2 linked regions of the Callithrix jacchus genome follow. Each later gene encodes a partner of the first gene's protein in a complex. Links are inferred from orthologs where the notes say so. Each region holds a gene or a part of one and is shown in the gene's direction. Other genes may lie near its edges.

Evidence for each region.
Region 2: the proteins of ZC3HAV1 (region 1) and KHNYN are in contact, whole or in part, in a crystal structure (PDB 9BGL), measured with the Homo sapiens proteins. The link is inferred for Callithrix jacchus from reciprocal best matches to the Homo sapiens genes ZC3HAV1 and KHNYN. Residues at the interface, in NP_064504.2 of Homo sapiens: Glu5, Val6, Cys8, Phe9, Lys12, Ile13, Ala16, His17, Glu29, Ile30, Ala31, Leu32, Leu113, Glu115, Phe118, Ser127, Gly128, Leu129, Asn130, Glu133; in NP_001277186.1 of Homo sapiens: His651, Lys652, Asp654, Phe655, Gln658, Arg659, Pro661, Tyr662, Asn677, Phe678.

The regions. Positions count from the first base shown.
Region 1 is NC_133512.1:108,282,051-108,286,116, forward strand, and holds part of ZC3HAV1 (zinc finger CCCH-type antiviral protein 1), read left to right. Parts: coding exon 1-77; intron 78-437; coding exon 438-568; intron 569-4,066.
Region 2 is NC_133509.1:58,730,418-58,734,483, forward strand, and holds part of KHNYN (protein KHNYN), read left to right. Parts: coding exon 1-20; intron 21-103; coding exon 104-200; intron 201-1,269; coding exon of another isoform or gene 1,270-1,330; exon of another isoform or gene 1,331-2,140; intron 2,141-3,179; coding exon 3,180-3,308; intron 3,309-3,499; coding exon 3,500-3,601; intron 3,602-4,066.

The DNA.
Region 1 (4,066 bases):
AAAGCTTCCATGAAAAATTTCAAGATTGAAAAGATAAAGAAGATCCAGAACCCAGAGCTCCTGGATTGTTTTACACGGTTGGTGGCCACGTTATTATGTTTCTTTACATAAAACTGGAAAGGATTAGTTAATATCCATCCTTTAAGATTTATATTCACTGATTTATTTTAGTAGTCAACAGTTCCTTCAGGCTCTAGTTGTTTTTTTCATTGTATCAACTCTGGCTTCTCTCTTTCAGCCTCACTGATTTCATGTGTCTGTCTTTTAAAAGTTTTCATAAGTTTATTATTGTACAGCTTCTGCCTTATGTTAGTAGCTCCATTGTGAAAGCTGATGGGATGAAATTTTCAGATGATTAGACTTTAGCTGGGATTCATGTTATGAACTGGAGTGAGAAGGGGATGTCTCGGTGTTAACTCTCACATTTCTTAAATTAGGAAGAAGTTGCAGATGAAGGTAGAAGAAAACCTCCTATTTTATGCGACAAAACGTGCCTATGTGGACTCTATCTGTGCGAATAATTTTGACTGGACCCTACATGAAACTCATGCAACCACATATGGAAAAGGTTTGTGCCGGGATAGAAAAGTGTAACTGGTAGAGTTATAACTTGGGCTTTATATGCGCTTCTATGAGGAGGTATATGTAATTATTTTGTATTAACCAGAGTGTCCAGGCTTTAGTGGTCATGGAGAGAAAATAAGCTTGTGGTAATCTCAAATGCTCAAATGAGAGTGGCTCCATTGACTTGGAGCATGAGTGCTGGAACTTAGTCTCACTCCTGCCTTCTGTTTTCATTCTGGGAGTGACCAAAGTCCTTGTACATGCTCGTCAGTTACTCCATCTGTTGGCCTTGTTGTCTCCCATCACTACTCACTTCTGGCCGTGCTCTTCCTGAACACATGTCCATGCCTCTGAAGCTATTTGAAGCTTCAATTGTCACAAAGTGATTTTAATTAAAGACGAGGAGAAGAGGATTCTCCCCATCTCAGGCCACACTGGGTTACCTGGACCTGTAGTGTCATAGGTCTGCCCCACACACAAAATCTTTATAGCTCTTTCTTTTTACTCCTAAACTCTTGCCTGCAATTTTTTTTTTTTTTGAGACAGTGTCTTACTTTGTCACCCAGGTTGGGTGACAATCTCAGCTCACTGCAGCTTCCACCTCCTGGGCTCAAGTGATCCTCCCACCTCAGTCCCCCAAACAGCTGGGACAGCAGGTGTGTGCCACCACATCCAGCTAATTTTTTTTTTTTTTTGTATTTTTGTAAAGACAGGGTTTCACCATGTTGCCAAGGCTGGTCTCATCTCCTGAGCTCAAGCAATCCACCTACCTCACCTCCCAAAGTGCTGGGATTCCAGGCATGAGCCACCACTCCTGCATGCATGCAACTGTTAAAACCAAACAAACCTAAAAATTACTTATCTTTAGGAAATAAGTAATAGGTTATCACAGATTCAAAGTGAGTTCAACTCATACAACTAGGATTAAATTCAATTCTTGCCCCAAAAGTCAAGAAGTCAGTCAGCAAATATTTTTGTGTCTTCTGTACACTAGATGTGGGGTACACAGTGGTGAACAAGTTAGACATTGCCCCATAGAAATTATTTTGCATAATTATCTTACATAATTAATTAAATGATTATGGCCAGGCATGGCAGCTTACACCTATAATTCCAGTACTTTGAGAGGCTGAGGTGGGAGGATCACTTGAGCCCAGGAGTTGGAGACCAGCTTAGGCAACATGGTGAGACCCTGTCTAATTTTTTGTTTTAATGACAAAAAAAATTTTTTTTGTAATTAAATTACCTGGGCATGGTGGCACATGCCTGTAGTCCCAGCTACTCAGGGGGCTCAGGTGGGAGGATTGCTAGAGGAGGATTGCAGAGGTTTGAGGCTGCAGTGATCCCTGATTGTGCCACTGCACTCCAGCCTAAGCAATATAGCAAGACTTTGTTTCAAAAAAAAAAAAAAAAAATTAAATGATTGCAAATGTCAGACTACTATAGAGGAAAAGAACAGGTCCAGGCTGGGCACAGTGGCTCACACCTGTAATCCTGCCCTTTGGGAGGCTGAGGCAGGTAGATCACTTGAGGTCAGGAGGTCAAGACCAGCCTGGCCAACATGGTGAAACCCCATCTGTACTAAAAATATAAAAAATTAGCCAGGCGTGGGGGCTGCTGCCTGTAATCCCAGCTATTCGGGAGTCTGAGGCAGGAGAATCGCTTGAACCCAGGAGCAGAGGTTGCAGTGAGCTGAGCTCGCACCACTGCACTCCAGCTTGGTCAACAGAGAGAGATTCTGTAGCAAAAAAAGAAAAAAGAGTCCAGACCAAAAATTAGGGTGGCTTTGACCCAGGTGGTGGAGGAGAAAGGAGGAAAAGGATATTGCAGTTCAAGGGATCTATTCCCTAAGAGGCATATGTGCAACAAGACAGAGTCCAGGTCTTAGGAGAGTGGGCTACAAGGTTGAGTCTTCAGGTTGGATCATTTAAGAAAATACAGGCTGGGCACGGTGGCTCACGCCTGTAATCCCAGTGCTTTGGGAGGCCAAGGTGGGTGGATTGCTTGAGGCCAGGAGTTCAAGACCATCCTGGCCAACATGGAGAAGCCCTGTCTCTACTAAAATTACAAAAATTAGCCATGTGTGTAGGCACATGCCTATAGTCCCAGCTACTCGGGAGGCTGAGGCGTGAGAATTGCTTGAACCTGAGAGGGGGAGGCTACAGTGAGCTGAGATCCTGTCACTGCGCTCCAGCCTCAGTGATAGAGCAAGACTCTGTCTCAAAAAAGAAAAAAAGAAAGCACTCAGAAATGTAGGAGTAGAAATTAACTTTCTTAACACAATAAAGGGAATTTTAAAAAAGAAAATATAGATTCCAGATTATATAAGTGTGATATAAAAACAACTGATGCTTGGCAACAAAAACAAAAATGGACAAATGAGATTGCGTCAAAGTAAAACGCTTCTCCACAACAAAGGAAACAACGAACAACGTGAGCGGACAAACCCACAGAGTGGAGAAAACATTTGCAAGCCATACATCTGATAAGGAGTTAATATCCAAAATATATAAGGAACTCAAACAATTCAACAGCAAGAGAACAAATAACCTGATTTAAAAATGAGCAAGCTGTTCCCATAAGTGGCCTGAGGTGATCTGTGGAAATGGTTTGCTATTCACTTGACCCAGAAATCTACACGAAATCATGCAAATAAAGAAGTTCAAATCTTCATGCTCACTTTAAGAATACCCATGAAACTGCCCAGGCCATCAAGGGTATGCATATATGAAAAGCCAGCAAGTGTCTGAAAGCTGTCACTGTATAGAAACAATGTGTACCATTCCAACGTTATGAGGATGGAGTTGGTAGGAGTGTCTAGGCCATACAGAAGGGCTGGGCACATGTTTGGTGACAAAGAGTTGAATTTTTGCTGTACACACTTAAAAATGCAGAGTGTAATGCTGAACTTAAGAGTTGAGCTGTAGATTCTCTGGTCATTGAGCATATTCAGGTGAACAAAGCACCCAAGACGTGCCACCAGACTCACAGAGCTCATGGTTGGATTAACTCCTGCGTGAGCTCCCCCTGCCACGCAGAGACGGTCTTCACTGAAAAAGAACACAGTGTCCTAATCCACAAGAGGAGGTACCCAGAAGAGAAAGATATCCCAGAAGAAACTGAAGAAGCAAAAACTTACGGCACAGGAATCAATTTAGCGTAAAATACATGCAAGTAGGAGTTTCAAAAATGGGCAAAAGACCTGAAGAGACATTTCTCAAAAGAAATACAAATGGCCAATGAGTTCCTGAAAAAATGGTCAACATCACTAATCATCGGGGAATTGCAAATTATGCAAATTAAAAATGAGCCCAGGAGGTCCAAGGCTGCCGTGAGCCAAGATTGAACCACTGCACTCCAGCTGGGATTACAAGCATGAGCCACCACGCCTATAAACATGTTTTCAAGTGCAAAGGAAAGTTGATAAGTATCAGTAAGGTATTATTGATATATGCTTAATACAAGCCCATTTGATCATGTATAACTAATCTTATAAACAATA
Region 2 (4,066 bases), on another chromosome or scaffold:
TAAGGATGCCAAAGTTAGAGGTGAGTTGGGCCTGGTCTTCTGTGTCCTGGGGTAGGCTCTATTTCTACCTGGAGGAGAACCCTATTTTGTTCTTTTTTAATAGAGAGTCACTTCCTGCAAAAGCTGCATTCCCTCAGCCTGCTCTCCCTCACACCCTCACGAGTCATGGATGGCAAGAGGATCTCCTCCTATGATGACAGGTACTTGCTCCTCTCCTGGCCCCAGGCTTGATATTCAAGGAGCCTAGTTGAAGATTGAGGGAGAGGGAAAAGCTCCTGGTGGTTTATGCTGTTTCCAAGCTTTGGTAGTGAGTAAGGGGCTAGTTATTCCTCTGTGTCCCTTATTATTGGTTAGGTAAACCTGCCCAGCAGCTGTGATGAGAAGAACTGTAGACAACCATGTTTGCTCATTTATCATTCATCAAATAAAGTGATACCTCATTTATATAGTGCTTCACTGTCTAGAAAATACTGGTTTAGTGGAAAGATGGGGAAGCTCGTGACATAAATAGCTGACAGATGTCATCTTTCTGAATTTCTCAACATGCAGAGAAACTTCCTTAACATTCTGGAAAAAACACAGTAAAGGTCAAAATAACAAATAAAATGAAGAAACACAACCCATGAATAATAGGACTGTACAAAACATGGTATAATAGAAATATCACTGGATTTAGAATTGGAAGAGCTAAATTTGAGCCTCAGTAGCACTCCTCATAGACTTTGACTGTGGACCCATGTCTTAGTGAATTATTAACCTCTTTGTCTCAGGGTCCTCCTCCATTCATGTACCCTCCTTGTGAATATATGAAAAAGATAAGGTGTGTGTCTGCCTTGCTCAAGGTGTGCTCAGCAAGACTACAGTGACATTCCCTCCTAACTTAGCACATACGTACTCAAGTGTGGCAGCGGGTGTATCTCCAATCTATAGTCATGGAGACAGAGGGTCAGAGTGGTTACCTCTCTTAGCAAAGGGAAATTAGACCTCAAAACTGTCAGATGATATGAATGAAAATACAAGACACACTTCTACCATAGTCTACATAGGTAATGTGAGAAATGAACAGATTTTAGAAAGCCAATTAACCAAGTTAACATATTTACAAGTTTTTTATTCTCTAGGACATTATTCAGATTTTAAAAATTAGTTTCCAAACCATAGTGATTATATACTTTGTCTTTTCAAACATGTACCTTGTATTCCTTAACAAGTAAATGGAATTCTACAAAATGGTTTACTTTCTCCCAATGTTATTCTACTTATGTATAGATGTCACAGATTACCCAAGATATGGAACCTTCTTTCCACACCTGCATTGAAACAGAATTGAAACTGAAGATTGAGTTCATTTTAATGAATGTTAAAGGCATGTGTCTGCCCAGTTGCGTGGGACCTGGTGGGCAGATAACATAATATAAATTGGGAATTCGCCCATCAACAGTGAATAAGCACAGTGGTGCACATCGTAGGCATAGTGAATAAATGTTGCTGAACAACATACTTTGTAATGAGATCATAGTAAAATATATTTAACCAGAAAATACCGTTTGCATGCCATAAGTGTACCATATACATTTGTAAGTCATTTCCTTAATTTGTTTCCCAGACAGAAGCTCAGAGCCTGATATCTGTCACACCTGATCCTGATTCCCAGTTCCCCCTATACCATGCTGTCTTTCAAATACTAACTGCTCACTTAGTACTAGTGCATAGCCTGCAGGAGGTGGGAACACTGGGAACAAGATCTGATTAGTGACTTTAGAGAGCCGTAAGAAACTATAAATCAAACACTACAGGAACTCAGAGAGAAGGGAGCCCCCTTCTGGCTGGGGTTTTGTGGGAAAGGAGAGATTTGTAAGTTTTTGTATTGATTGAGAAGACTGTGGGATGGGCTGGATCTCTTGGTTTCTAAATCTGTTAAGAACACCACCCACCACCTCATGAGTCCTACCTTGTCTTGTAGAATCAGAATTACTGAAGTGGGGCCCGCATCTATTTTTTTTTTTTTTTGAGACAGAGTCTTGTCACCCAGGCTGAAGTGCAATGGCACGATCTCGGCTCACTGCAGTCTCTGCCTCCTGGGTTCAAGCAATTCTCCTGCCTCAGCCTCCTGAGTAGCTGGGACTACAGGCATGCACCACCACACCTGGCTAATTTTTTTGTATTTTTAGTAGAGACGGCGTTTCACCATGTTGGCCAGGATGGTCTTAATCTCTTGACCTCGTGATCTGCCCTCCTTGGCCTCCCAAAGTGCTAGGATTACAGGCGTGAGCCACCGCGTCCATCCCATCTGTTTTTTAAAGTTCCCCTGGTGATTCTGTTCCTCAGCCAGTTTTTGGAAGTGCCTTTCAGATGGGAATAGTTGGAGAAACCCGGAAGTCAGCATTAGACATATTTGAAGAGCAGAGTGTAACCTGATGATTGATTTTAGCTGGAGTTGAGACTGCAATAGGGAATATTTGGAGATAAGGCTGTAAGAGTGATTTGATCTGGGCTCTAGAAGGCCTTAGCTGCCAGGCCTGGGTGTGTGGACTTTATTTGGTAAATAAAGGGTGAGTGTGGAAGAGTTTTGTGTAGGGGATAAGCATGCTTTCTTGGGGCAGGGCAGGGGAGGCTGGAGGGTGGTGAGTGGTCAGAGGCGGGGAATCCTTGTTAGGAGGTTATGCGTGATCTCAGTTGCAATATCTGAATTACTAGGGTAGTTACGGTGGGCCTGGGAAGGAAGGGAGCAGAGCACAAGGCTTTTGAAAGGTAGGACATGTTGGATTTGCGAGGGATTGGTTGGGTAGGGTGGAAGACAGTGTCAGAGCTAGATCTTACTGTTTACTAGTGAGACGCAAAGTGTTGCGCGAAGGACTGCGGTGAGCAGATTGGATTCATCTGTTTCTTCTGTAGCCCATGAAACCTGTATCTAGTCAGTTGCCTGTAGCTGGGCTAAGGTGGGGTATGGGGCCAGAGCTCCATCACCAGAAGTTGCTCATGGGAATTAGTAACACTTTTGAGGTTGGGGCCTTGGAGTGTCCCAAAGGGTTGCTGTGGTTGTTTTTATTTTTATATATTTGGGGGCATACAAGTACAGTTTTGCTACATGCATAGTGGTGAAGTCTGGGCTTTTAATGTAACTGTTATCCCAAGAGTGAACATTGTACCCAATAGGTAAATTTTCAACCTTCTCTCAGTTGCTGTGGTTTTGGAGACAGGTTCATGGTGAGGCTGGCTGAAGAGAGAGATGGGATAATTGTCTCCAATGATCAGTTCCGGGATCTGGCAGAGGAGTCCGAGAACTGGATGGCAATCATCAGAGAACGGTGAGAATTGGACACAGATGCAGACCTTTTTCTAAAGCTAGTTCTGCTCTGGCCACAGGGTGAAAACTCTGGGAAGGAGGTGAAGTTTTCTTGAAGGATGGAGCCAGCAGTTTCTGGTGATACTGGTTTCAGTTGTCTGGGAGGTGGGCAAGAGCCCCCTCTATGACCATATATTCTCTTTCACCGTCCAGCCTGCTGCCCTTTACCTTTGTGGGAAACCTCTTCATGGTACCCGATGACCCACTGGGGCGAAACGGCCCCACCCTGGATGAATTTCTGAAGAAGCCAGCCAGGTAATCAATCTAGACTCCTTGCAGACAGCTTCACCCTGGCCCTCTCTTGGCAGGCCCGGAGGCTTGGGTGGAAGTCTGACCTCAGTTTTGGCCAGCTTAATTTTGCAGTGGTTTGAGTTACCTTGGCCTTGGCCATGATAAGCTTCCCAGGAATCCTGACGTAGAACCTCCTTGCTGGGAGGGAAACACCTGCTTCCTGTTTCCCTTAATCAGCGTGTTTTATGGAGTTATTTGGAAAATGGTTGCTTATACTGAGACCCAGTTGTATTCTGCATGCCTTCTGCTGACCATTATGTAAGTAATTCATTTAGGACCAGAACTAGATCGTATAATAGTGGCAGAGTTCACCGTGGTTCCCAAAGTACAGTCCATCACCCCTTCAGAAGAGGGTTGATACTGCCACTCAGTGGTCAACTTCAGGAACTTCAGAACTTCTCCCCCAGAGCCAGGAACAGGCAAGATAAT